Linked DNA regions of Coturnix japonica. The protein of the gene in region 2 interacts with the protein of the main gene of each other region in a biochemical or structural test. Links are inferred from orthologs where the notes say so. Each region holds a gene or a part of one and is shown on either strand. Other genes may lie near its edges.

The links.
Region 1: of the proteins of AMFR (region 2) and HERPUD1, one has a biochemical effect on the other in vitro, tested with the Homo sapiens proteins (6 studies listed by BioGRID and IntAct, with this or other methods). The link is inferred for Coturnix japonica from reciprocal best matches to the Homo sapiens genes AMFR and HERPUD1.

Annotation. Positions count from the first base shown.
Region 1 is NC_029526.1:1,857,912-1,860,630, forward strand, and holds the end of HERPUD1 (homocysteine-responsive endoplasmic reticulum-resident ubiquitin-like domain member 1 protein), read right to left. Parts: intron 2,088-2,719; coding exon 1,982-2,087; intron 1,484-1,981; coding exon 1,313-1,483; 3' UTR 517-1,312; downstream 1-516. UniProt on the Homo sapiens protein: Component of the endoplasmic reticulum quality control (ERQC) system also called ER-associated degradation (ERAD) involved in ubiquitin-dependent degradation of misfolded endoplasmic reticulum proteins.
Region 2 is NC_029526.1:517,822-521,877, reverse strand, and holds the start of AMFR (E3 ubiquitin-protein ligase AMFR), read left to right. Parts: upstream 1-1,237; 5' UTR 1,238-1,299; coding exon 1,300-1,491; intron 1,492-1,820; coding exon 1,821-1,913; intron 1,914-3,057; coding exon 3,058-3,222; intron 3,223-4,056. Other genes in the region: NUDT21 (cleavage and polyadenylation specificity factor subunit 5), read left to right, coding at 120-234, 422-443. UniProt on the Homo sapiens protein: E3 ubiquitin-protein ligase that mediates the polyubiquitination of lysine and cysteine residues on target proteins, such as CD3D, CYP3A4, CFTR, INSIG1, SOAT2/ACAT2 and APOB for proteasomal degradation.

The sequences.
Region 1 (2,719 bases), about 1.3 Mb from region 2:
GCCTCCTGACATCCAACCTGCATCTCCTGTTAGTATAAGACTATTTTCCTTTGTCCTATCACTATCAGACCCTATAAACAGATGATCTCCCTCCTGTTCCTAAAGTTGCCCTCAACAAGGGGCTAAAGACAGAACAGCACAGCATCAGTTTTACCCCTCAGCCATTCCCAGCTCCTTCACAGCCTGCAGGAGGGCAGGGGAGGACAAGGCACTGCAGGGCATTGACCTCCTGCAGGAAAGGAAGGGCCATGCAGCCTCCACCTACAACAACAGTGCCACAAACATCAAACATCTCTGCCCTGGAGTAACCAGCCCTGAGGGCAGCACAGGGACATCAGCCTGTCCCCTGCACAAGGCCAGGCTGTCCACTGGAGCCCCTTCCCCTACCCCCGCCCACCCCATACTCAGACATTGTTGGTGGTGCTGTTAAGACTTACCCTGAATTGACCCAAAGCCTCATGGCCTTTCAATTTCAAGCAGAGCACACAACGTGCTCTGCTGTAGAGCACATGCAAGTACAGATAAGCGACCGCAGATTTTATTGAATCAAAGCCCTCAGCCACATCGAAGGAAACAAACACAACAGAGTTGCTGTCGAGTGAAAACGCCTCTACATTAAATACAGGTCTCAGACTGCTTTGATTTCATATCTAAAGCAGTCAAATCAAGTCTTGCATAAACTCTTGATTGAAGTTGAATGCACTTAACTCCTCTCCCATGATTTGAGAGCAGAGAAAAAGAAATCAGCCTTGAGTATGAAGGACGTGTTGGGCAGTTGGAAACCTGCAGCTCCACTGAGGTCACTGTGCCCCACAGCTGCCCCTTCAGCCAAGGAAATGGCACAATGCATCTCTCATAGGAAAATATTTACAAAGCGGAATTTAAAACACCATTGAAGCAATTGAACAGTAGATCTTTCCTAAAAACCTGCTAATGCTCATCTAGCAATTGAAGGTACTACACTCAGTGTAATTTAAATAGCATTTGAAACATTCCAACAGGAATCACATTGCACGGAAGAAGCAATTTGCTTCTCTAACATCTCTGCACACCTGCTCAGAGCCTGTGCATTTAGTGCACAAGATTACAATGCCAAGCCTCTACAAAGGTACCCAATAAATGCTACGGAAGAAAGTTCTTTGGAATGAGGGCAATCATCTTGTGTCTGTATTGCAACAACTTAAGGCCTCTTGCAGTTTCATCAGTGAAGGCCAGAGAAATGCCACACGTTTTCACTCCTGCTTTGGGGTTGGCATCTGATTTGCTCAGGACTGGAGCTCACTGACATTCCAGTGAAGGAAATGGTGCCACTTCAGTTGCGAGTCAGTCTGGGCCCTTCTGGAAGAAGGGATGCAAAGAAGGTCTTGAAGAACAGCCACGCTGTGCTCATAAGGGACGGGTTGGCCTGTGGCAGCTCTGGCAGAACTTGTCCAGCATCAGGAAGGGCCTCAGGTTCCTCTGCTCCGCCTGCATTCCCTCCCTGCTGAAAGGAAGAACACTCAGTGAGAACCGCTGCAGAAGTGCATTAGGGTAATTGGGTGCTAAGCTGCATCATTACTCATATTGCACTGTCAGTATAAAACCTACATAGTGCTTCTCTATTGAAGTAACCCCCAACAACCCAAGTTAAGAATATACTGAACCCAAGTTAAGAATATACTGCTTAGGACAGATGCATACATGGCTTATGTGGTCAGCTGTTTCCTTTATAGCTAATTAACTCAGCAAACACTGACAACAACCCCAAGCATTGCTGGAAATGCAGGACTCCACCTGCTCTCATACTCCAACCTGAGTTCCGTTACAGAACTTAGGCTGCAACAGGCCATTCCAACACCCAACAAGTAGAAGATAACACACAGCACTTCAGCGCCCCACAAGAGGAAGCAGGCTGGCAATGCAGAATTCTCACTGCTTGTGTAATTAATGCACAGTAAAAACCTCACTGCATCTCATGCTCATGTTGTATAAAACACAATACCTGCAAGTTATTGTTCTGGTCCTGGTTTACAGCAGCCTGAGGAGGGACGTTATCTGGGAAAGGCTGTGCTCGTCGTTGTCTAAAGGGGAACCATCCAACATGGTGCCTGAGGGAAGGCAATATATTTGTGTGGTTACACGCGACTCCTTCCTGCCACATCAAGGTAACTGAATAACATTGCATATGGGGACTAACAACAGTGCATTTCAGGAGTTGATGAAGCCATTGGCTTTCTTTCTACAAGTCCGCACATACAGAAGTGCATTTTTAAGCTGCAGTTTCAACTCTGAGGCTGACAGGAACTCACAGACCTGCACCCATTACCTCACTGGTGATCAAACAGTGTATGAGAGGACACAGACACCCCAGAAATGCCCCCCAAGGGCGGGCTATCTGTATTCTACTCATGATTTATCCCGTTTTTGCCTTCTAGAGCAGCTTAGAAGCAACTCACAACATCACTTTAAGCTTTGTGTTCTAATAACAAAAACTCACATGGCTACATGACTTACAGAGAAGAAGCAAGGCTCCCTCCCAAGATTTCAAGCACTTGTCAACTGCTTCCCAACTTTCACAGAGACGCTGTGGCTTTACACTAGGAGTTACTTTGTCTTCCAATAGTTTTCCAAAAGGAAAATCAACTACACCAGAAGAGGGGGCAAGATGATTCCCCATCACCTATCCTTTCTACTCTGAACCCAGAGGCTGTAACTGTATTTCTGCTGAATGCCGAGGTGT
Region 2 (4,056 bases):
AAACCTACTTTGGTAGTCTAGTGCTACATGATCTTGCTTTGAGATCTGTTGGGAGTACCCTTGCCTGAATGCTTGGTGATATTTTTCATTTAATACTAACCAGCTTTATTTATTGGTAGCTTTGTTTGCAGTCCCCAAAAATTACAAGCTTGTAGCTGCACCGTTGTTTGAGCTCTATGACAATGCACCAGGATACGGACCCATTATTTCCAGCCTTCCTCAGCTTTTGAGCAGGTACGTTGTGTTTGCTTGCACTGTGGTTCTGGGAGCCCGGGCCTTAAGGCAAAGCAAAATAAATCACTTTTGCTGTGTCAGGTGGAGGCTGCTCAGGAATAAAAACGTTTGCCTGTTCATGTTCCAGAATGTCAGTTAATTAAATGGAATAGAAGTCTCTCACTTGGTGTAACTCTTCCAATTTTAGGTTCAACTTTATTTACAACTGAGTTCCTGTCCAACACCTGAGGAATCTGATTGAAGAAGCCGTCTCTGTGAGCACAGCTTTATGATGTAGAAAAAAGAATGTGTTGACTCGAGGATTTCATTTTTGTTCCTTTCCCGAAGGCCACTAAGATTCTCTTGTATGAATAGAGAAGTGAATCTCAGCTGTTTAGGTAGCAGGATGGCAGCGTGATGTCAGTGATTTTATCACTTTCCATTGTAATACTCACCAGTTTTTTTTGTACGACATTAAACGAGATGGAACCGACTGGTTGTCTTTTGTGGAGTTTGTTCTTCCTGTAGTTGTCTTCTAGTTGGAAGAATGCGACTGAAACTTTGGAAGTACACGGCAGATGCTGAAAGCTGCTGGGGGAGGTGGTGCAGCCAGTGCCTGGAGGTGCTGGAGAGGAGCGGCACTGAGGGATGTGGATGGTTGGGCTCCGTGATCTCAGAGTCTATTCCAACTTAGTGATTCTGGATATTTTATGTAGCTCCAGGACTGACTGTAGGCGCTATAGCAGCGCGGTGTGCAGGCAGCAGCTCCAGGCACGGTGCCTCTCCGTTCACGGGCAGCCGTGCGAGCACCTGGCTCTTGTTGCAGCGTTCCGACAGCCCAGCCGGCCCGCACCGTGCGCCCGGCGCTCCGTTCTCTCGCTGTTACCCGGGAGCGGGGCCGCCGTAACCCCGCCCAAGGCCGCAGGGCCGCGCCGCAGCTCTGGGCGCCGAAGGAGCGCGGGCCGCGCTGCCGGAGTCCCGCCCGGTGACTCAGCGCGGGGCGGTGCGGGCCGAGGGGCGGCGCCGGCGGGCGGAAGGGCCGCAGGAAGCGGGGCCGAGAGGCGGCGGCGGCCGCGGGGCTCCGCGATGCCGCTCCTGTTCCTGGAGCGCTTCCCCTGGCCCAGCCTGCGCACGTACGCGGCGCTCAGCGGCCTGGCCCTGTTGGCCGCCGCCTTCAGCGCTCAGCGCGCCCTCAGCGCGGCCGGCGAGCAGCGGGCGGGCGGGCCGCGGGCCCTGGACGTGGCGTACTACCTGCTGTCCGACAGCCTCTGCGTCTGGGTGAGCCGGGCCGACGGGGGCCGTGGTGCTCTGGGGGCCGTGGTGCTCTGGGGGCCATAGTCTTGCTCCGCGTGCCGACATGGAGGCCCTTAGCGCCAGAACGTGCCGGGCCGGGTGAGCGGCTCCTCGGGCAGCGGCAGCTTTGTTTGCCGGGCGTTCTGCCGGGAGGGGTTCGCGTTTCTAGAAAGCGAGATGAGCGATCGGCCCGTGTCGTACGGAGGGCAGGGTTACGTTTCATCAGAGCTGCGCGGCGCACAAAGCAGCCTCTGTTGGGCTCCTCTCGGAGCGGGGCAGAAGGATCCGTCGCTGACTGCTTTGTTTCCGTGCAGGTGCTGGTGAACACGGCGTGCTGTGTCCTGATGCTGGTCGCTAAGCTGATCCAGCGCGCGGTGTTCGGCCCGCTGCGAGTCAGCGAGAGGCAGGTAAGGCAGCACAGCACTGCTGTGTTTGCTACGTGGAACTGCTGAACACACAGTATAAATAAGCTTTAAAACACATTTCAGCCCTATCTCTGAGTTCTCTGTGCTGGAGTTCTCAGTGCTGAGCGTGCTGTCCAGTAGCACCATGTAGAAAACAATCTCCCCAGGAGATACTCCTGTATCTGCAGTTAGAGGCTTCCAGTGTTTTTCTGGAGGGAACTTCATCATTGTTTAATGGTATTTTACAAGTTCGGGGTCAACTTGCAAACCCTTTGTACACATTGCCAGATTTCTTACAAGCCCACCTCAGTTCAGGGCACTCACAACATCTGTTTTCTTCCCTGTTTTGCTTGTATATGGTGACATTTCTCCACTGCATTTCCCAGTTAGGGAAGTGCCAGTGTTGCTAACTCGCACGCCTTGCTCTGTACCCTGAGTGCTGCACAAGTATGGGTGCTCTCCAGCCTCAGGCATGGAGGCGATGACATGCATGTGGCCAGGACTGAAATCTCACACTGCTATTTCCTGAACTTATCATGGGTGAGAAGGTTTGTCAGAACGCAGCTAAAGGACCATTACTGCTCAGGCTTTTTAAAGCAGGATCCTGCAAAAGATAAAAGCAGCAACAGCAGTAGTTGGGATAGTAGGTATCTTAAAAATAAACATGTAAACATAGTTCTCTAGGAAAAATCAGGCTGTGATCATTTTTGGCACAGGGAGCTGTGGCACGTAATGCTTTGTGAGTAGCCACAGGTCCCTCAAAGCCTGTTGTATCTGTGGTTCACTCCCTCAGAGCTTTTGAGTGAAGTATATAACAAGCAGGTAATTCAGTCACACTTGTTTTTTGGTCATGCATGTTGACAGTGAGGATGTGGAATTTTAACCAGCGATAATTCCCAGGTTCTCTCCTCTCTTTAAAAACTGAAGTGAGAGGCAGTGACTGGATTCGTTCGTTTTTGGATAGTGAGAGTGTGCTCTGCGGGTAGGCTGGTTATCGTTGCTGGTGAACCAACACTTGTCAGCATTGGGAAGGAATTCTGGGCATGTCTGAACTGTCCTGGTGGTTTCATTGTGTTCTTTAACAAAACGTGTGGATTGTCAGTGCTCTCTCCATAGTAACTGAGTGCCTTCCTTCCTTTCTTTTCAGCATCTCAAGGATAAGTTCTGGAATTTCATCTTCTACAAGTTCATCTTCATTTTTGGTGTGCTGAATGTTCAGACAGTGGAAGAAGTGGTCATGTGGTGCCTCTGGTTCTCTGGGCTTGTGTTTCTTCATCTCATGGTCCAGCTCTGTAAGGATCGCTTTGAATACGTAAGTTTTGATTTAAGGGCTCTCTTTTGGGGTTTGCAGATTTAGAGGCACTGGGTTAGGATAGGCTGCAAGCAGATCATTTAGGCCTCTTCCCCACCTGAGGTGCAGAACAAATGCACCTTCTTTTAGCTTCAAATGATTGCTTTGGAATGCCGTGTCAATCTTACTCCTTCAGTTTTCTCATCAGACAAGTAGAGCTGAAGATATGTATTCTCTTTAATGAATTGTTCCATATATGTGCCCCATAGTTACTGCTGCATAGCTCTGTGTCTTGTCTTCATTGCTCTTAGTGGAGAAATCTGGAGAGCAGAACTTCCCTTAGAACTTAGAACCTTAGTCCCTTTGGGACTGATCTGTAAAAGCTCACTTACATCTACCCAGTGCTGAGTCCCAACATCTACCCAGTACTGAGTCCCAAAGCCTTTACGACACCCAACACAACTTTCTTCATAAGCTGTGTGCAGTTTCTGTAAATTTGGTAGGGAGACCAGAAACTGAAAGCTAGGCAAGGGTGAAACGGGACATTGGACAGTAAGACTTGTTCTTTTAGCATCTATAATGCATGCGTGTTTTCCTCAGCTCCTCCATCCTGAAATAAGAGTTTGAACTAAACTGGATCCATGAATTTCCTCCTGGTAGTTTTATAATTCCTTTATTTTGTTATTAATATCCAGTAAGGCCTGTCACCTCACAAGGAGCTGAGCACCAAACTTGAGATGAGATGGGCTGGGGCTCAGGAAATGGAGAATAGAATGAACCGGGCGGTCATTGGGTCTTGGGCTTGTTCAGAGAGTTGTAAGAGAACAAAGTTCATGTGGGGAGAAATCATTATTA